Linked DNA regions of Notamacropus eugenii. The protein of the gene in region 2 interacts with the protein of the main gene of each other region in a biochemical or structural test. Links are inferred from orthologs where the notes say so. Each region holds a gene or a part of one and is shown on either strand. Other genes may lie near its edges. The genes, in order: FCN2, PTX3 and CFH.

What was found.
Region 1: the proteins of PTX3 (region 2) and FCN2 interact in a biophysical measurement, tested with the Homo sapiens proteins (2 studies listed by IntAct, with this or other methods). The link is inferred for Notamacropus eugenii from reciprocal best matches to the Homo sapiens genes PTX3 and FCN2.
Region 3: the proteins of PTX3 (region 2) and CFH form a complex in vitro, tested with the Homo sapiens proteins (3 studies listed by IntAct, with this or other methods). The link is inferred for Notamacropus eugenii from reciprocal best matches to the Homo sapiens genes PTX3 and CFH.

The regions. Positions count from the first base shown.
Region 1 is NC_092872.1:488,118,201-488,125,389, forward strand, and holds the start of FCN2 (ficolin-2), read left to right. Parts: upstream 1-4,169; 5' UTR 4,170-4,251; coding exon 4,252-4,327; intron 4,328-4,826; coding exon 4,827-4,940; intron 4,941-6,865; coding exon 6,866-6,919; intron 6,920-7,189.
Region 2 is NC_092877.1:367,858,936-367,866,641, reverse strand, and holds the start of PTX3 (pentraxin-related protein PTX3), read left to right. Parts: upstream 1-4,665; 5' UTR 4,666-4,799; coding exon 4,800-4,932; intron 4,933-5,868; coding exon 5,869-6,219; intron 6,220-7,706. Other genes in the region: VEPH1 (ventricular zone-expressed PH domain-containing protein homolog 1), read right to left, coding at 503-669.
Region 3 is NC_092873.1:444,689,043-444,696,879, reverse strand, and holds the start of CFH (complement factor H), read left to right. Parts: upstream 1-4,768; 5' UTR 4,769-5,027; coding exon 5,028-5,085; intron 5,086-7,837. UniProt on the Homo sapiens protein: Glycoprotein that plays an essential role in maintaining a well-balanced immune response by modulating complement activation.

The DNA.
Region 1 (7,189 bases), on a different chromosome or scaffold from region 2:
GTGTGTTTGACCTTCATTGCCAAAGAAGACCATGCCATAAGAGAAATAATGACAGGATTTGCACTTGACTTTGTTTTGAGTGAGGGAGGGCTGTGCAGGTCATCAGCCTCATTTCTCCTCCAGAGCCATCTGAATCCAGTGACCAGATATTCCTCAGGATGACTGGAGATGACCCAGGATGAGGCAATTGGGGTTAAGTGACTTGCTCAAGGTCACACAGCTAGTGAGTGTCAAGTGTCTGAGGTGAGATTTGAACTCAGGTACTCCTGACTCCTGCACTGATGCTCTATCCACTGCACCACCTAGCTGCCCCCAGGTCATAGATTATGCAGAAGGGAAACAAAATAGAAGACTGGAAAGGGAGAAAGAGTACAGGTTACAAAGGAGTTTAAAAGCCAAGTAAAGGATTTATTATTCGATTCTGGAGGCAATTGAAAGCCACTGGAACTTACTGAATATGGGAAGTAGGAAGGGATGGGGTCATGTTTAGACTTCTTCATTGGGAAGATCATTTTAGTAATTGAGCAGGGGATGGAGTAAGGAGAGACTTGGGTCCAGAAGACCAAGCAGGACACTATTGCAATAGTTCAAGGGTGAGGCAATGAGGTCCCACACATATAAGGGATTATTATTTTAATTAAGGAGCTCACAATCTGGTTGAGGCAACAAAAAGTATTCATGCAGATGTAACAGACAGTGCACAGCAGTATGTGATAAGTACTCCTGAATAACACAGACAATAAATGCTATTGGTGCATCAGAAAGACAGAATGTCCTATCCAGCAAAGACAGCATGGGGTCACCTGCACCAAGCTCCTGTTCAATTCAAGCCATTGAAGATGGGGCAATTTGGATGTCTGGCCTTTACTTAAAGCTAGATGTGCAATGTAAGCTCTTTTTAATGGAAACGTCCTTGCAAATGGGGTCTGAATGTCTGCTCTTTCTTGAAGGGAATGAGAACTGAAGAATACAGTGAATGGAAAAAGTATTAGATTTGGGAATGGGGGAGGAGAGTGGGGACCTGTGCTTGGTCTCTGTCTAGCTTCAGTCACCTGGGGTAGTGATTGAAGGTGGCCTTGTGCTATTGTTAGGGGTGGGGAACCTGCAGCCTCAAGGCCATATGTAGCCCTCTAGGTCCTCAAGTGTGGCCCTTTTACTGGATCCAAACTTCACAGAACAAATCCTTTTATTAAGGGGACAGATAGCAGTGACCTTGCAGTGCTTATGGAGGATAAGTGCGGATAATGAAACAGTTGGAAAAATTCTGAAGAAATCATTCCTACGTTGGAAGCTGCCATCACCCACTGCCACCAGTCAACTTCTAGTCAAATCTGATGCTGTGGAATGAATGCTTAAATTTCCAGCACTATAAAGAAGTGACTTTGACTATAAATTTAAACTGTTGATTCATCACAGACTGGCAGGAGAAATTGTTGTGGTCAAAAATGCTAAAATCAAAGAACTTCAAGAGAACATTCAGACAACTATCAAGCATTTCCAGGAAGATGAATGCTGTCCTCATTCCACTGAGAGTGTTGTTCTTATTGGTGGAAAGCGTAGTGGGGTTGTGGAATGCATAAAAGTCCTACCAGATCTTTATATCTGAATCTCCAATCAAAGGATATGCACAGCCCTATGTCCCAATTTCTATGATGAAATCTGTGACTCTGATGGTTTCACAATGATGTTTAATGATCCAAAATTGGTAGGGATGATTTTCTTCAGAATGCTCAATATTTAAGCAACCGAGGATGAAGCAGCATGCAGATGTTGAAACATTCTAATGCAACTTGTTTTCTTTTTTTATAATGGGAAGTAGTATTCTGCAAAGTTTTTCAGACTAGTGGAGACATGAAAGAGTCTTGCATCTTTTAGAGTTTTTTATCTGCTTCTGTTCAAAAAGTCGACATTCCTTGGTTTCATAGGTGTTCTGCATTTGAGGTAGAGTGAAATCTTTGCTATTTACTAGATGTAATTTTTTAGTTTCTTAAAAACAAAGTAGTGAGGGGGAAGATGTGTAAAACTTACATCGAAATTTTGGAACGTCTGTTGAGAGAGTGAATCTTATGTTTGTTCATTGCTGATGGTAAAAAAAAAAAATCCCCCTTCCTGTTACTGTTGTGAACACCTTGCTTTGTGGTCACTGTAATTTTGGGAGAGGACAGAGGGGAACAGGGAATAAAGAATACCAATTGTCCATGGTTCCTGGCATCCATTTAGAGCACTATATAGAATGTAAGGCTCTTTTATAAGAAACATTCTATGATTTTAAAAAAAATAGATTGTTGTTGTTTTTAGTCATGTCTGACTCTCTGTGACCCCATTTGGAGTTTTCTTGGCAAAGATATTGGGGTAGTTGCTATTTTCTTCTGCAGCTCATTTTACAGAAGAAAAAACTGAGGGTTAAGTGATTTGTCCAGGGTCACACAGCTAGTGTGTTCATCTTCCATTGGAAGAAGACCATGCCATCAGAGAAATAATGACATGACTTGCACTTGACTTTGTTTTGAGTGAGGGAGGGCTGTGCAGGTCACCAGCCTCACTTCTCCTCCAGAGCCATCTGAATCCAGTGACCAGATATTCCTCAGGATGACTGGAGATGACCCAGGATGAGGCAGTTGGGGTTAAGTGACTTGCCCAAGGTCACACAGCTAGTGAGTATCAAGTGTCTGAGATGAGATTTGAACTCAGGTCCTCCTGACTCCTGCACTGGTACTCTATCCACTGCACCACCTGCTTGCCCCCACGCAGCTACTATGTGTCTGAAGACAGATATAAACTCAGAAGGAGGAGTTTTCCTAGGTTTAGACCTGGTTTTCTATCCACTATATCACCTAACTACCCCCAAATAAAGTAATTGAACCTAAAAAAATGACTATTTGATTTGAAATCAGAGACCTCTTGATGGAATCTTAATTGACTATAAGTTACCTGAGTTGACCTAGGCAAGTCTTCACCTTTCTCACTGATTCTCAGTTTCCTCATTTGTCAGATGGGGAGTGGGAGTGGGGTAGATGAAGGATTTCTGAAGTCACTTCTAGTTCTTCTATACTGCATTCCTAGGGGAATAATATTGTGGCCTTGCAAAACCTGGGTTCAGGTTCATCCTCTGACACAAACCAGCTATACAACCTCATGCAAATCATGTAATCTCTTTGAGCTCCAGGGAAACCTCTGAATATATAAATTATTGGTGAGTGGATAATCTACACTGAAGATGTTTCCACACTGGTAACTGCATTTACTATGTGCCAAGCATATATGAGCAGCTAGGTGGTCCAATGGATAAAGTACCAGGCCTAAAGTCAGGAAGATACATCTTCCTGAGTTCAAATCTGATCTCAGACACTTACTAGCTGTGTAACCCTGGGTAAATCACTTAATGCCATTTGCCTCAGTTTTCTCAGCTGTATAAATGAGCTGGAGAAGGAAATGTAAAAAAAACCCCAAGGACCTCAAAATGAGGTCAGGAAGAGTTCAACAAGAGTGAAAGACAACCGAGCAACAAATATGCCAAGCACGGTGCTAAGCATTGAGTATACAAATTCAAAAGTAAAGATAATCCCTATTCTGAAGAAGCTTACATTCTAAGAAGGGGAGATAATATATACTTCAGAGAGTAGATGGGAACAGGGCATTAAATCTTCAGACAGAGATTCACACATTCTTCTAGGAGTTGATTTAATCATGGTTCCAAACTTGGTTAGGTGAATGGGGGTGGAGGTCAAGATTGGGAAGGGAAGTCTTTGCCATGGGCACCAAGGCAGTTAATGAGGCTGTAGAGAAGATGACCAGGGAGTCACCAATCAGTGCCCAGTACTGTAATTCAGATAGAAGGAATAAAAGCTTCTCAATGAGCATGATCTCTGGAGTAGGCACCGAAGTGGTTGTTGAAGCTGTGGAAGAAATGGTCAGAGAAAGTGAATGAAGCATGCCTGGGGCTGTCCTGCAGTAGGGATCATTCATCAGGAAATCACAGGTCTGGACAGAAAAGAAAAGAAAAAAAGAAAAAAGGAGTTCCTAGGAAGCAGCAAATTCCCAAGGACCTAATTAGAGCAGAACGTTCTTTTCCAATATCTGATACTTTGCCAAAGCAAACAGTTCACCCCAAGAGGGAAGAGAAACAAGACAGAAAGGCTTATGACGGCTGGTTCTCCAATGCCTTTATAAGATTGGGCAGCCTTTGGCAGCCAATGACAAAGGCACCAAGAAGTGACTAGAGCCTTGAGGCTGAAGAGCCCATTTCAGGCTATGGACAGAGTTGCCTGGCTCTTGGCGTGTATATGCCTCATGACCTCCACTGCTCAGAAGCCTGATCAGTGCCCAGGTGAGTGTGATTCCCAGAGATGGCGCTAAGCTCTAGAACTGACATTTCTTCCTGGATCTAGTCCTGAGGAACATGGAGACCCATTCTTCTCAAAAATATCTTGCTCTTTCTTATTTCTCTTCTATAACCTTGTGTTCTCTGAGAAAGAGGATCTCTTCTCTCCACTAACCTCTTACCCCTTCCCTCTCTTCCCAGAACTTCTATATGCATCTAGATGGTTTAGTGCTTAGAAAGACTAGTCAGGAATACCTGAGTTCAAATACTGCCCTAGATACTTACTAGCTGTGTGACACTGGGCAGATCACTTAACCTTTTTCTCACTCAATTTCCTCATATATAAAATGGCGTTAACAATAATAATAATATTTACTTCCCAGGGCTGTTGAGAAGATCAAATTAGATATAACATAACTTAATTAATATAATGTAATGTAATATAATACATAGAAAATACAATACTCAATGGTGTATGTGTGTGTATGTCTTTCACATTCTGCAGATGTAAAGATTGTGGGTCTTGGGGAGTCTGACAAACTTGCCATACTCCAAGGCTGTCCAGGACTTCCTGGACCCCCTGGTCCCAAAGGAGAAGCTGGCTCTGATGGAAAAAGAGGTATGTGTCCATACCCTGTAGGTCCAGAGGTTTTGGTTGATATGAGTTGGAAATGGTCACAGAACACTGACTCTTTCGCCACACAGGACAAAGCTGGGAAAGCTGAGGTTCATAGGCCATAAGCTGTGGCTCTTCACATGTTATTTAGAGTAAATAGGTATCTTTCAAAAGTCCTTTCAGAAAATAATTATGTTTTGGAGGGTCTATGCTTAGTTCACAAGTTCATACTTCAGCATATATAGCCAGAAGATCTGGGTTCTAGTCTTGGCTCTACTGCTGACCTCCTATGGGACTTTTAGCAAATCCCTTCACTTAATTTCTTTCAACTTCACTTTTCTTGTCAAGTGGTGACAATGCCTGCCCTGCCTCCCCCAAATAGCCATTGTCCCATTTTGTACACTGAGCTTTATCAGAACTGTCCAATTGGATGTGGTATCTCTCACTCATCTGAACTCAGAATTCTCACCACTCCTACTATTTTAACTGTAATAATTACCATTATCTTATCTCTCTTATGCATGGAAAGATCCAGGAGTGGAGGGGTCACCTTAATCATCTTTGCATCTCTCATACCACTATGCTCAGATCTGGATGAGTATTAAATCCTATTTGTTGCTAGATTACAAGTGCAAACAATTCACCGCCATCATGCCCAATATACTCATTACCATTAGTAAATCTAACATGTTGACATATCAAGAATCCGTAGTTTTTGTCACTCATCTGTAGTTTTGAGTGGAGGGGATGCTATGCCTTTTTATTAAGTTAGTTTCAGTTTCCAAAATACTTTCCCTCTTCTCCATCCCCATCCAAAAAACAAAACTGATTACAACTCTTAACTTGCTTAAGGTTCTGAGACTTAAGTGACTGGACTTGAAGGCAGGTCTTCCTGACTCTAGGATCATTCACTATATTATACAGCTTCCCTAACAATCATAATCACCAACATAATTAATATACAATCTATGGTTCTTAGACCACACTCTGTGGCTCTTGGAATGCTGTTTAGAGCAAATAATTGTGTTCTAAGGATGAAAAAAATGTCATTAGTCTTAAGAACTAATGTTTGACAAGAGGTAACCATAGCGCAGAGGAAGGAATGCTGGTTTTGGAATCTGAGGGTCTGAGGTCAAATCCCCTTATGACCTGGATGACTCTGAATGAGTGATTTAAGTCCTCCAGGATGACCAAAGACCAGTTACAAAATGCAGTTCTTTTGGTGTGGGAATCAAGTGAACCTGCTAGAGTCCATCTGATGAACACTGATTCCATCTTGTGCTGCTACATGTATTATCCTTCATCTTGTTGCTTTGTTGCAAATCATCCATGGGAAACTAGGTGGCATGAGGTATCTATTGTTTCATAAATGTAGGTGGTTGCAATTAATCAGCATCTCTAAATTCTGGGAAAAGAAAGATTTCAAAACCTACTTGACTTCCTACCAACTCTGCCAAAATGTACTCTTCCCCCCTCCCAACTTGGAAAGCCTTCAACCTTTCCTCCAGCTAGAAATCAGATTACCTAATTTTGTACCCTGGCTTTTGTCTTGTCAGTTGTTTTCTGTTTAATTAGTTGGTCTTATTTGATTAATTGTTTTGAATACATAAAAATCTGTCTCACTCTGTATGCAGGGTCTTTGTACAGACTAGGGAGTCTGCTGACCATTTATTATGCCTGTTTTGCTAATAAGTCACATAACCTGGATTGCACTTTCTCAGTTATTTTAATTTATCTGTCACAGGACCTCATTTCCTTTACTTGTAAAAGGAGAGGAATAGGGTTGCAGAGGTCCCTTTTCACCTCTACAATCATAATCTAGGGAGTATGTGAGAGTGGCTGGGGGTTGGGTGGGAAGGGGAGTTGGTGAATTTCAAGTTAAATGTTATAATTTATTATCACCATTCCTATCTCACTGGTATCTACAGGGGAGAGAGGCCCTCCTGGGACTCCTGGGAAGGCAGGACCAATGGGTCCCAAAGGTAAGTAATTAAAAGGAAATCAAAGAACCCCATGGATAAAACCTGAATGCCCGCTGCAGCAAGAGCAGCTCCCTAAGGTTCCATTCACTGGGCTGCTCATTCCTAGAAAGTCAATTTCTGCTGTCAGTCAGGACACTTCCCCTAAATTCCATTTCCTAGACTCAAAGCAGTGTTGACAGCAGGAGCCACACTTATACCACCCACCTCACATTTGTGTGTGTGTGTGTGTGTTTGTGTGTGTGTGTGTGTGTGTGTGAATCTTAAAGAAGT
Region 2 (7,706 bases):
TATCTCCTAATGCAATGTCAGCTTCTCGATGGCAGAGACAACTTCAGTTTCATCTTTCTAGACCTAGCATCTAGTGCAGTGACTGCCTAGTAGATACTTAACAAATGTTCAGTGCCTGATTAATTTAATTTCAAGATAGGTATGTTTAGGTGAAATATCCATGCATGCAGGGTAGCCTAGGCACATACCTAGGCATTCATGTAAATGTACCCATCCTTGAGAGTCCGTATGGTATAGTGAATAGTGTTCTGGACTTCGAGTCAGAAAATCCCGTGCTCAGTTCCCATCTCTGACACTTGCCAACCCTGTCATGTCACCCCCTCAAGACTCAGTTTCCTCATCCATAAAACAGGATGACGATATCTGCAGTACCTACCTCACAGCTTTGTTAGGAAGCTCAACTGAGATAATATATATATAACGTACTTTGCCAGTGTCAAAGTCCTATATGAAGGATCTGTTATTTTTTATTATTTATATTCATATAAAAATATGCCTTTACCGTGGGTCGTTTCCTCCTTGCCACTATCTGCAACAGCCTGAGAAGATGGTGTTGTTCTGTTGTCTCTAGGTCACACATCAGGGTCACCAACTCCATCACGTGGCTGTTAATTGGCTGGGGCTGCTTTTCATACACAGAAGGCAAGACACGCAGCAGCATGGAGTTGCCTGTTTAAAGGATAATAAAGTCAGTTCATTCACTTGGGCTCCACAACTCTCTCAGCTCATGAGAGGCATTAATCATGTTGGGGTTGAACTAACAAGCATCTAGGATACTTAGTCACATATCAAATCATAGGGACCAATCACCCATTCCTTTACTGAGCCAAGTAATAACAAAGAGTGACCCTGATTCCCACAGATCACTGGCACTGCTACTATCAGAGCTTATTCCATGAGTGGGGAATCTGATAATGAGAAACATTATTACCTAATGATGGTTTATACTAAGTGAAGTAATGTGGGGCAAGCAGAAGAGCCCCAACCTTGAGAAGAAATTAGTATAGACAGAGGATGAATGATAAGAGTCTTAGACAGCCTTTAACTGAAAACCAAGCTTTATCATAAATATGAGAGGAAATGAAAACAAAGAAAAGAAAATAATAGAATGTATTACGTTCTTCACAGAGAAAGACAATAGACATCTGGAAATAATGCTTTACTATTCGCAATAAAGGAGGAACAAAGATGGTTCCAACCTCCATTTTAAGGGCTGCTGAGATATGGCTTGTCACTCATGATTTTCCATAAAGCAAGCACCGGGAAGAAATTTTATATAAGGTTCAGGTATTCATACCAAGAACACATGGGAGAATCTGTTTATCACTGCAGAGATCAGCCCTTCTCTTCGAATACTGGCAAGTACTTACAAGCTTCAAAGCAACTGGTTTCCATAGATGCCTTGAACCGGGAGTATTATACTTATATTTCCTTTAAAATGGAGATTTATGTATAAGAGAAATATACACAAGAACCCAAAGAGTAGGGACTGCATGTAAATGTACATGCATTTGTGTGTTTGGGCACACATATTTATGCAGAATATTTTAAGAACTGAGCAAAGAAAACATTGGTAAAACACAGAAAGCTCTAAAACTCTGAATGATAAAAGTTTGACTTTAGAGGAAACCAAAAATCCTTGATGACGCCTTTCAGGGGCAGCAACGTATGAGGTAGGACTTGAAAGCAAGGAGACATTCCACAAAATGGAAATTAGTGTCACTACTTTTTACTTATACCACCCAGAGCCATGGGATGTCAGAGCTTGAAGAGACTTTAGATATAACTAGAACCAGCCCCCCCCCCATTTTACAGAAAAGGAAACTGAGCCCCAGAGAGGTTGAGCAACTTGTCTAAAGTCACACAGACATTTGAAGCAGAGTCAGGATTTGGACCAAAATCTTATTCCAAAAGCCACAGATCTTTTTCACTGCCTCTCAGTGGCAGAGGGCTAATACAGGTCTTTGGACCTGGCACCATTAAATTTCATTGTTTTGGGTATTCACTAGGCACAGGGAACTGAAGAACTTTATACTTAAGAATTTTGAAGTCACTTGGGAGACAAGGGAATATCATTATTATTGTCTTTGCAGAACGAATTTCACTTCAGCAGATCAACAACAATGAACATTAAGAAGTACTACGTTCAAGGCACTGGGCTATGGCATGGGGTTAGTCCCTGGATCTCAAGAAGTATACATAGTGTATAGGGACAGAGAATGGGATGGTGGTGGTGGTAGTAATGGTGGAACAGAATAGGTACATAGATAAGACAAAGTAAGTTGGGAAGATGAGAAAGCATTAACAAGTGAGTGGAGTGGTCAGGAAAGTCTTCAGGGATGGCACTGAAGCTGATCTTACTGTGGGTTTTCTTGTGGGTGATCATGACTTGTTTTAACTCATTTAATAATTGGATCATTGTGCTATCCATGGAATTTGCCATCATGTTTCCCAACCATCCTGGACCATCCCTTGTGAATCTTTCTTGGAGTGATTCTCCCATACAAATGTTTCACTGTGGAAATTATTCCATGACTTCAAGCCTAGCCTCCTCATTTGCACAGGTCCCTCTTGAGGTTTCTGTCTTCAGTATTCAGGGTGTTTTGTCTCACTCTCAATGGGAGATCATCTTTAGTTTGTACCCTGGAAGCCCCGGGACATCACATTCTTGTAGTTCTCAAGCATTCCATCCCCACAGAAATCTTTATGAACAGAGTCCAAGCTCTCCCAGGTGAAGTTCAAAACCATATTCTCTAACATCAATGACTGTCTTCAGTAAGTAAAACTCTTTCTATTTGAACTAAGTCAAGTCAAATCAACTAACATACCTTAAGTACTACGGATACCGAGAAAGGTCGAAGACAGTCTCTGATATCAAGGAACTCACAGGCTAATGGGTGAGATAGAGAGCCAGATTCTCTGCCAGGTCATTCTCTTTATGTCTTACGTCTTCCCTGGGTAGACTGGCTAAGAATCATTCTAGCCTACTAGTAGTCACAGCTCTTGAATCTGTCCTTCTTTTGAATTTCTGGCCCCAGGTTCTGAAGGCAGAGCTCATGAAATTGAGCTTCATGAAGTCTAGTTTCTTACTCAAGCAGCCTGGAGTTCTAGGGAGATGCATCAAATTGTTCACCTGGAGCATGGATTTGGTAAGGTTTGAATAGATATGTGGCCATCACTATCTCCAGATAAAATCTGGTTTTCAACTCTGCATCCTTCCTTCCAACACACACACACTCACTTCCCTAGGAGTCTCCATTAGGCTCAAATTAGACACCTGCACACTACAGTAAGACAGAAGGGCCAGGAGGAATGCTAGAGCACACCATGGCTTGGTCAGCAGGAGAGATGATCCAGGAGGCTCAAATACGCAGCTTGATCCCAAAACCTTAGAGAAACTGTCAAGAGGTCTTGAATAGGTAAATGGCCCCCTGATGAGCACCAGGCAACAGTATATTCTGGTGATTAGTCACCAATCCAGAGAGAATTAACAGTTGGTGTAAATTCCATGATCTCTTCCAGAGATAAAGATCAAGAATATTAAAAGCTACAATAAAGGGTCCCTCTGGGTCAGTTAAGGGACACCCTAGTTGCCTGCTCAAAATGCCAATTTTAAGGGAGCTAAAATTTAAGGCATAAAGCTGGCATGTAATTCTAATAAGACTTTTACTTAATGTTACAAATTTAAAGTGTATATGGTGGGGGGGAGGAAACTTGTTCACTTTTCAACTGAAGATAGACCCCAAAATGAAACAATAAAAGTGTGATTCCGTTTGAGCTACACGCTCCTAAACACACCAGCACAGAAATCACAGATAGTCACAATCTAAATTCCCTCTTGAAATACGATCCTCTCTCCAAGCCCAGGAGGGTAAGCTGGCTTCCTTGGAGCTATGTATTCGCAGAGATTTACTACTGGGGGAAGAAAACAAGCGTCTCTAAGATTTGTATACTGCCCTCTTCCAGGGTATCCCTCCTCCTCACCCTCCCCATTCCCCCCTTACTGGGTTTATGAAACTCCCAAGGTTTTGTGTAAAACTTTACAATAGTGCTCAAATAAAGGCAGTGGGAAGAATGACCGAACTCTAACTGGAACGAAAAGATAGGTTCCTAATCCATTGGGCATTTTTAGCCACCGGATTGCATCTTCTTTTTTATACTGGAATTCATCTATGACTCCGGGCAACGAAGGCATGTAAAACCGAGGGTACAGGGAATGCAGAGTAAAAAGAACAAAAAAAAAAAAAAAAAAAAAGTCTGGGGACGAAAAGGATTGTGGAAAAAATATTCCCATAAGCCCCCCTCCCCTAAGGATCTTATCTCTCTTTCCTGCCTTTCCTCCCAGCTCTGATGCATTTTCTTCCTACCACACAAGCAGCTTTCTTGTACATCAGAATGTACAAATTCACATTGCAACATCTAATTCTCCAGGGACAAGTCTCGTAAGATCCGTTTTACCCCAGCTCTCAGCGTCCCCCTTTTTTTCCCTCCCTCAATTAACCTGACCACAGAGCAAACCTTGGGGGTTTAGTATTGCCTAACTTCCCCGCCTCCCCTAGCCCATCAGCCCCCTCCTTTTCCTCCTCTTCCTCCAATAACCAGAGGCATTCTCATTTCAGCCCCCAGCCCCCCCGGTGCCACCAGCATTGCTCATTCATTCACTTTCGGCAGCCCCGGACCTTTATTAAGAGGTTTCCTAGCCTCCTGCTCTCATTCTCTGCTCTGCTCCAGGCCAGCTCCCTCCCAGCAGACTTTTGCAGAAATCCGAAAAAGTACAATCGCTGTCTTCTCCCGGAGAAATGCAACATCTCCGAGTACTTCTGTTTTGTGCTTTCTGTTCTGCCTTGTCGGCTGAGGACAGCGATGACTATAATCTCATGTATGTGAATTTGGATAACGAAATAGAGAATGGAATACATCCCACTGACGACAGTAAGTGCCTGTTAACTGTTTCTCTGCTACCCTTAACTGTTCCAAGCCTGCTCTGTGTGCGTAGGGGATAGTCAGTATTGGAGCAAGGGTAAGCTATTTCAAGGTTTCCTTTGAAAAGAGGGAGTTCTTTAGAGCAGAGGGAACTTTTAAAAGTAATTTAATATATGTAGAAGAAAGGAAGGAAGGGAACTGAAGTGGTCTGAGAGGCAACCCGAAGCACTCAGGGCAAGGAGAGGTGGGCTTACGGTCAGGAAGATTGTTCGAATTGCGACATTTATCTGGGCAACTGTGGGCAAGCCATTTAATTTTCTTGGGTATCAGTTTCCGTGTGTAAAATGATGAGATTGTACCAGGTGGCCCCTAAAGAACCTGTCAAACCAAGTATGGTCCTATGGCCCTAAGAATAGGGCTCAAATTCTGCCCTCTGACACACACTAGTGGTCTGATCCTGGATAAGTACCATCTGCTTTACCCAGGTAACTAACAGGTAAGACAGAAACTTTGTGGAACCCCAATTGTGAAAGGGGTTTCCATATTGGGGGTTCCCATTCCTCATAGTATAAATCATAGGTCTGTCTAACAGCCTTCTCGCCCCCCTCCCCCACAAAAAAAAGTGGTTTGCTACATAAATAAGTAAGCAGTAACGGATAAAAAAGATTTCTTGACCACCAGGGTGATCCTACGTGGGCCGGTATGCACCCTCAGGCCTTATATGCACTACTTTTCTGAATGTCTCTAGAAAGGATGTGGAAGGTGGGACTTTTAGAGACACCTTACTAGACTTTACCCAGACCTCTCTGGAGGGCAAGGGCAGCGGACTTTGGGTCAAGCAGAGCCGACTAGGGAGGAGATAGGTGGTGTGGGCCCTTGCCCAACTCTGTGACCCTGTGGGCGTGCAGGTGGGTCCCTGACACCAGTTTCTTCTGCTTCTTACAGGCTTTTCGTGTGACTGTAGCCAGGAGCGCATGGCGTGGGACCGGCTCTTCGTCATGCTGGAGAACTCTCAGATGCGGGAGAACAGACTGCTGCAGGCAGCCGAGGATGTATTGACTGCTGAACTGCGTGAGCTGCGCTCAGATGTGTCCCGCATGTACGCCTCAGCCCAGGAACCTGTCTGGCTAGCCAGGACCTTGGAAGAGCTGTCACTGGCCAGCCGTGGCCTGACACACCGGCTTGCCAAGCTGGAGAGTGCCTGGCAGAGGGCGCCCGACACGAATAGTCTGCTGCCCGTGTTGGAGGAGCTGCGAGCCCTGCGCAGGTGGGCTGCACAGCGCTCACTGCCTGCAGGTAAGAGAGAGCCTTCTGCCCCGCCCCACCTCCCCTTGTCTGGCTGCCCACCACCCAATCGGCTGAGCTTCCCATTGGGGGTTGGGTAAGTCTCATAGGCAGAGAGACTCTAGGATCCAAACAGCCTTTAATTTTCTCATGGTCTTTGAGCCCAGCCTGTTTTTCTTGAAGAAATCCTTCTTTAGTGCCTTTGATGGAATCTCCAGAGCATAGATTTAAGGCTGGAAGAGACCTCGAGCGTCACCTACTGCATCCAACCCCTTTATCTTATGGATGAGAGAACTCAGGTTCATCCATCGTCCTAGGGGTTGTGAGGGTCAAATGAGATAATGAATCTACATGTACTATCACTGAGTTATTCTCCATCATAAGATCATAGATCTAAATAGAGTCTACTAACAGGGAATTTAGGGATCATTGAGTTGCCCCTTTTAGGGATATGGGATTTACAGATACTGGCACCCAGAGAATCTACATGACTTGTCCAAGGGGATAGAGATATTAAATGGCAGGTATGAGATTTGAACTCAGGTCATCCAACTCCAAATCCAGCCTTGTATCCGTATCAAATAGTTCTGAAACGAGTTTGTTCTCCAGAATTGAAACACTCACACACACACACACACACACACCACACACACCACACACACAACTCAAATGGTAGCAGATTTCACCTTAAAATACACATAAACTATTCCACCCTGGAATTAGGCCATCAGTTTAAACTCTATTGGCTCATTTTAAAAAAAGTCTTCTCAGCTTCCCTTCCCTCCCTGGCAAATTGGCCTGTGCCTGAGGACAGGGTCTTTGTTGTTGTTGTTTCAGTCATGTCTGACTCTTCATGGCCCAATTTGGGGTTTTCTTGGCAAAGATACAGGAGTGGTTTGTCATTTCCTTCTCTAGCTCATTTTACAGATGAGGAAACTGAGGCAAACAAGGTTAAATGACTTTTCCAGAGCCACACAGCTAGTAAGTATCTGAAGTCAAATTTGAACTCAGGTCTTCCTGACTCCAAGTCCAGTGCTCTATCCACTCACTGCACCATCTAGTTTATTTTCATTTTAAATTTAGTTTCTATTCTCCAGAGAGAGAGATAGATTGAGGTAAAGTATATCTTTAGGTCTGTGGACTTTTTTCCAGCTTGGCTGCTTGTCTTTAAGGACAGTTCTGATTGATAATAGTAACCTAGCAAATCTTATGCCTTAAAGTATAAACTGATCTTCTGAGGGACCAGAGGAATCCTCTTCCACTGCCTCTCTAATGCCATAGTCAAATGACCTTGATGGAGTGGGGAGCTCTCTGAGGATCAGGGAGAGATACCTTTGTAAGATGGGTTTTGGGGCAACTACCAGGGACAGACTGCTAGTTGAAAATATCTCTTTAGGGAAAGGTACATTTGTGTTTCAGTCTTTTTTTTTTTACTTTTGTTTTCTGAAAGTATTAGAGAGACCATCTAAGTAAGAGAATATCAAATTGGACAAAACCTG
Region 3 (7,837 bases), on a different chromosome or scaffold from region 2:
TCACTCAACTTCTTTTTGGCCCAGTTTCCTCATATGTAAAATAGGATAATAATAGAACCTATCTCCCAGGGATTGTGAGTATCAAATGAGTTAATAATTGCAAAGTGCTTGGTACATAGTAAGTGCTACATAAATATTGGCTATTATTATTATTTGCCTTTTTTATGTATATATCCCATCTCCCTACCTGGATTACAAATCCTTCAAAGGGTCCTTTTCTTATACACATTTGTATCTCCAGAATATAATAGGCAAAAAAAAAAATTGCTGCTGCTAATTTTACTCAACATTCGGTTTCCTATTCTCTATCCATTTTTCACACATATTCAGTGCTTTAAAAATTGAGTTTCAGTGAACTAAGCTTGGTCCTGATGCTTCCAGATTTTATAGCTAATATTGCCAAATTAACGTACATAATGCATAGATGTTTCTGCTAAAAGAAATCCAAAAGACAAAGGTAGTGATTAGAACAGGTTCTTGTCATGTACTTGTGTGTTTTTCAATCATAGATGTTTCGTATGGTCTTCTGTTAACATATGAATGGCAAATTTGTCATGGTTTTCAATTCAACATGTTCAAGAAATACATATGAAACATCTATTAATTGCAGGCACTGTTCTAGGCCCTGGAGATGCAAAGACAAAAATCAGTAACTTGCTGACCTCAAGGAAATTATGAATCATCTGTTTTAACAATATTCCTTCATTTATTAGTGCACCATTTGGTAACACAGAATAGATATAACTTTCACCTTTCAGTTTCCCAGGAAGAGGTGTGGGTTTGAGGAGAGGAATTAGCAGTGTCACTATATCACATCTACCATCCCGTAGTCCTCCATAGCTGGGAAAAATACTGCCAACCCCTCCTCTTGGTGTGTGCTCCCCCTCAGCTTGAGAGTTTCTTAAAATTCCCATTGAAGCAAAAACTATGCCAGGAAGAAATACAATTCCATGCTCCTTAGTATTTGGGAACTACTTCCAAGGCATCCAGTCTCAGCTTTTCCAGAAGAACTGTTGTAGAGTCTATCCCTTCATTTTACAGATGAGAAAACTGAGGCTTAGAATGGTTAAAACGACTTGCCCAGGGTCATATAACTAGTTTTCAAGGGGGCATTTGAACTCAGGTCTTCTTGACTTCTAGTACAATATTACATCACTTTGCCTCCCCTTGGCCTACTTTAGACTATTCTGTGCTACTTCAGCAATGCCTTGATTAGAAGCCTGAAGTGCCTGATAACTTGAAAAAGAACATGCATGTGTACATATATGTACATGCACATGCACATGCATATGTATATGTATATGCAATATGTATATGGATGTATTGGTTGGTTGTTGTCCTTCATTCTCAAAAAGGACCAAAATGACTTCATGCTAGAGTCAAGTTTCAGTGTGTCTGACTATTGCTGGTCAGACCAATATGAATTTGGAATGCTCTACCACAACTCAGGCACAAATAATCCATATGAACATTTGGGTGGATTCTCTAAATTTGCACGTCCTACATTTCCTTTGAGCTGTTTCAATTTTGCTTCGCTTGTAGAGAACAGCACCTTTTCTGTTGTGGGCCCACCATGACGAACATCTAGATCTAGACAACAAAAGTCTGTCTTGACTATAGCTTCCATCTTTCTTGTCCTCCCTTAATACTTGCTTTGTCAATTATCTTAAATAAGCCTAGGCAATGTAGAGACTTTGGAGAGTGTGCGTATTCTGTATGGTGATACCAATTAAAAAAATTTTCCTAATATTTTTTGGAGCGGGGTTAGTTATCAATATGTGCAACAGCTTTGAGATGATGCTCTGACACCATTACCATTACTACCACCACTACACCTACCATCGCCATCATCATCCTTATCAGTGCTATCTCATTCTTCCCATCTTTTTGGGCAGGATTCAGGACAAGCTTCAAACCCGCTGTTATTCTCCTACTATTTATTTACTATTAATAGACAATATTTGTAAACCAATATTGAGCTAATAAGCATAGGGCTAGGCTCAAAGCACTGGAAACATTAGGGTAAGCCTGAAAAAATGAGAAGGACATCATTATCATCACCATCACCAGTAACAACATGCCCTACTGAGTAGTTGCTATGTCTTGGTTTTTTGTTCTCCAGGCTAGAGTAATGCACTGTTGTTAGTTAGTGCCATTAAATTCTAGGTTTTCTTAAGAAAGAGAAATTTAAAGTTAACTTTTCGTTTAATATGGGGAGTTATCTTTTGTCTAATTCCATTCTCTTTTTATTCAAATATAACTTCCTAGTTTTCAAAAGCAAGAAGTAAAAAAAAAAATAAACAAATAAGTAAACCCATAGCTGAAGCTTTATTGGACCCAAAGTATAACACTATTACTTTATAAACCCAAATAGGAAAACTAATTTTTACTTGCATAAAAGGCAATATTTGAAATATTTTTACCTGTATCTTTTTGTCTTTATGCCCATGAGATCATAGGACAGACCCAAACTACTCCAACAATAATCTAAGAAGAAAGCTAGGAATAGTCATCATGAAATTGAAGGAATAATTATAATGGGTCATCTTTCCATTGGAAGATGGAAATTTCAACTTACAAGGAAGTGAATAGGACAGAAATTCTTGAACTCTGGTGTTAGCTGTTATCATAGCTCTCAGTTCCCAAAGATCCAACGTGGGCCAGTAACACTGGGAGTACCAGAGACAACCCCCAGGGTTCCTAGCCAGTCCAGCAAAACAAGGTCATAAAAGGCACAGTGAACCTCAGACCCAGAGTTCTAGGCAAGCAGCATACCAAGAGTGGATCATAGACTCAACCCTGAGCTTACTAAAACTTCCAGATACCTGAAAGGGTTTAAGACTAACTACTCTTTCTAGGAGCACCACTTAGAAGCAAGTCTGCCACTGTGGGGCCTAGACTCAAATTGGAACTTGGAGCCTGACAATCTATGAGGACACAAATTAGGATGTCCTCTTGATCAGACCTCATTGGGTCTGTTGAAAATTTGCAGCTTTATACTTCAAACTGTCCTTGTGATTCTTAAAGACTCTAACACTCAGTACATGAAGAACATAATGACAGACTAGGTTAGGAAATTAGACCACAAAACAAGACTGGAAGAACAAGTTTTTTGTTTGGTTGGTTTTTGTTTGTTTTTGGTTTTTTTTTTAATTTCCAGTTGGACAGAGGTGGGAGCTGCAAAAAGAATGGTAGAGAGCAATGATCACTGGCAACAAAAATTATGTTCAATAAAGGACAAAACCCAAAGAACAATTTATACTATAATATCACATTATAAAAATAAGCTTAAAAAAAAAAGACATGAACACTGACAAACATAGTGATCAATCATGATTCCAGAGGACTTATAACTTACCTCCTGTCTGAGAGGTGATAAACTAATATACAGAATGAGACATACTTTTGGAAATGGCTAATATGGAAATTTGTTATGTTTGACTATGCTTGCTTTCACAGGAATTTTGTTTTTCTTTTCTTTTTTTTTTTCCGTGAGCTGAGGAGATGGAAGGCAGAAAAAAATGCTTGAAAAATTCTAAAAATTTTCAAATTGAATCAAAAGATAAGATAAATGAATGTTTCACAGAAACATGATGATAGAAAAAGTAGCAAATGATTGCATTGTAGTAAAGTATCAAACACATTAGCTCTAATTTTAGCATTGCCTCACATCCCAGATCCCCTCCAAGATATACAAATATATGAAATGCATCAAGAGAATATTAAAGTTAAAAACTAGGACTTAAAAAATTATAAGTGAGGACCCTGTGATCTTCCTCTTATTTATCCAAATTCAAATTATGACCACTGTTTGTAATGAACAAGATCTCAGCTTAGTAAATTTTCTATTCTCAATGTGTCTTTGCATAGTAAACGCTTTATAAATGTTTGTTGAATGAATGAATGATAAACTCAGCCTATAAAAGTGTTCTGGTATTGGCTTTAGATATAATTGCAAAACTAAGTTGGCAGTTTCAGACGGGTAAGTGGAAAGTTGGAATGAATATACTATGTTAAAATAGGAGTCATTGGAGAGCATTATTTAAAAATTTCAAGTGATGGCTGAGATTTCAAATGTGACTTACTTTCTTGTGAGATATCTTTTGTTTTCTGGTGTGTTTTTTTTTTCCTTCAAGTAATAGAGCCAATCCAGTACCTTCATTTAACTTAAAAAAAATACAGTACATTGGCTTGGGCAATAAAACACAGATAAAATTACACTGCATGGAGAAAAAGAAAAAAGAATCTGTTTTGTCAGATTTTTGTAGTCCAGAATCTTTAGCAGCCCTGATTTTTCTGTTTTTTGTGATTTAGGTTATTACACTAATTTGCTAGGACTGAGTGGGAATCAGTTGCTTTACAAACAAATATAGTGTTACTGGGGTGGAGAATAAAATTAATGGATTGCTAAAGAAGGAGGTAACGGGATAGGTCAGAATGGCATTCTTTCCAAAGTTTACATAAGTTATCTGAGTTGATTGTGAAAGTATTGGTCAATCTGAAGGGCTGTAAATGAAAGATTTAAAAAAAACCTATTCACTTCCCCTCTCTTCCTCTTACTGCCCCCTCCCCTTTTGAATATGTTTAATAAAGCAGTCATTTAATTTCAGTAAATGGGAGGTGGGGTACATATAGAAAGCATTATTTAATTTGTTGCAGAGCCTGGGAACTTGAAAATAATCCATCTGAGAACATGCCTGTATTTTTAATGACAAATCAGAGTGGAGGTCACAACTTTAACAGTGAGTGGGAGGACATGAAGAATTCTGTTCATACCCTGGCAAGGAACAAAAGACTTGTTGAGTTCTGTGATTTGATATTTGTTGGGTGTTTATTTTGGGGTTTTTTTTCCCCTAGCTTAGCTTCAGTTTCTAGTAGGTGGGACATTTAGTTAGTGGACTTTATTCAGGCAGCATATTTTCAACTTCTGTTTTAAACAAGATTTCACTCGGAGCAGTCAGAGGAGAGCATTACATGGTACCTGCAATATCTAGGTCCTAAATGTGTCTTGCTTCCACGTACAAAAAATGAGATTTCCAGTAAAGATTGTTTTACTTCTGTTATGGACTATCTGTGCTGCACAAGGTAAGGGGACAGGATTTTGGTTCTCTTTAAGGAAACTAAAAAACATTTGTTAGTATATTTTACAGAGACAAACTGAGAGAGGAAGAGATCAAATTACAGATTATAATTATATTCTTGTTCTACTTCTATAGTTCATGCACCTATGGATATTTTAAAGTGTTAATGATTTCAATAGCACATTTAGATGTTTCTTTTCACTTTTTATTTTCAGATAAATACTATAAAAATATTTTTTAAAGTAATCATTTCTGAACTACTAAGTTTCTTAAAGAGTACCCGTTCTTGATTCATTAAAATATTCCTTAAAAAACTTATTTTCTGAGCTATTGTTTTACTCTTCCAGGAATTTTTCCATGAAATGTCAGAGACAAAATTCATGCTATTATTACTGGATTGATAACTAGCCTAGATTGTATCTATGCCTAGAGATCAATGTATTTATTATTTGTTTCCAGTGCCTTGGTGTTTTGTTTTGTTCTTTGAAAATAATTCTAATATACCATAAGTGGAACTTCCTTACAACACATCTGTAAAAATAGTATAAATTTAAGTTAACAAAAAATTCAGTCTGTGAACTGATAACTTCATTCCATAGTTAGGATTCTTTCAAGAAATTATTTTTAATAGGAACTACAGGAAAATTCTCTACTAAATGCAATATTCTGATAAGAAAATAGAATGAGATAGATCTTTCTTAGTATAGTGAGAAAATTGATGAATGAACTTCTGTTATCACACATAGTTTAAATGAGCTCTAGTGTTTTACAGCCAATTGGTGAGTTTACTTTTGGGTATTTTACTTAGATGGTGCATGTAAGATAAGTGATAACTAGGATTCATATTTGATGTATCTATTTCATGAAACTGCATCAAGCATCTTTTATTTGAGGAAGAAGTCATGATGTAGTATGAAGAGTTCTGAATTTGAAGTCACTAGAGATTTGGGTTCAAATCCTAGCTTTGACTAAATGTATGACAAATGAACAATTCACATGATCACTCTGGGCTTCATACCTTTAGTACCTACCTCATATGGTTTTTGATGATCTAATAAGATACTGTATGGAAAATGTCTTACATACCTTAAAGCACTATACAGATGTCAACAATTATTATCTTTTGATTACTAGAAATATGCTATCCATATAATATCTTTAGATGTATATATTTAAAGTTCGCAGATCCCAGGTTAAAAATTCTTTATTTAACGGTTGAACTGAAAGGATTCAACAAATCAACATGTTTGTGTGTAGGGGCAGTGGAAGTATTGGGACAAATTCTTGGCATAGGAAATAGAGGAAAAAAATAAATTAAGGCAGGGAAGCATTAGCCATGTTAAGGATAGGATGGGGGCGGGGGATGAGGTGTGGGGTGGAGGAAGTGGTAACGTGATTTAGGCTGGAAGACAGAGGATGTGGAAGGTAATAGGAATAAAGTTTAAACATGTAATGTGGTACCCAATTTTGGAGAATCTTGAATGTAAGGTTTAAAAAATTTGAACATTATTATTTACGTCTTTATTTTAAAATGTATTTTATGTTTATGTATTTATTTCTAAGGTAGGTGGTAATGAGGGCCTATACTCATAGGCAGTAGGGAGAGGGAGTACAGAAGTAAGGCAGAATAAATACTACATGTCAGCTGATTAGCTAAGAGCCATGAGGGAGAGGGCCTAGAATAGTGAAAGGTAGCAGTAAGCTCTCAAAAATGGGAGAGCGGCTGACTAACAACAACAACAAAACCGAAACTAAACCTTATAACTACAATGACCCAGCTTGGCTCTAGAGAAAAGTTGCAAGTACTTACCTCCCTCCTTTCTTGACCAAGGACAAAGACACAAAGTGTGATACATTACACACACACACACACACACACACACACACGCATGCATGCATGTATACACACATGCACACTCATGTACGTATGTATGTATATATGCACACATGCATGTGTATGTATAAAAACATATTCTGTCAGTTATAGTTGACTTGTTAATTTTGGTAAACTCTATTTTTTATCTTTCTTTTAAAAATCTTTGTCACATGGGATGATCTGCAGGTGGGGGAGACATGAGGATATGTATATTTGGAAATAAAAGAGTTATAAAAATAAAAGTTATCCTGCCCTATTGTGCTTTTATGTATTTGCACAGATGGTCCTCATACCTGAAATATATTATATTCTTTCAAGGCCTGGATCTTGGGCCAGCAATTCCTCTACCTTGAAGCCTCCCCTGGTCTCTTAAATTTCCCTTAAAGCCCTTTATCATGAGAAAATATCAGATTTTACATTTTGCTTTATTTATTGATTTACCTGTCTTATTTTTATTAGTAGAATATAATCTCCTTGTAGAATAGTAGAATAATGACTATATCACATTATCTGTATTTCTAGCATTTAACATACTGTCTTGTACAGAGCAGAACTTTGAGATACATACACATACATATGTATATTTGTATATGTATATATACATATGTGTATATATACATATGCACATATATGTTAGTCCAAACTTTTCTGAATTTATCTGATAGGGCTATATCATGCATCCCCTGTTTCTCCATTTTTTTTTACAAAATATCATGTGAGAATTTGACAACAACTTTGAAGAATGAATATATGTTACAGTATATCCATAGAACCTGAAATACTTACATTACTCAGGACTGAGAACAATCACATATGTGAAAATGTAAATGGTAGAGACAATTGATCTCTGTTGTCTCCTGTTACATACAGTCAGGCTATT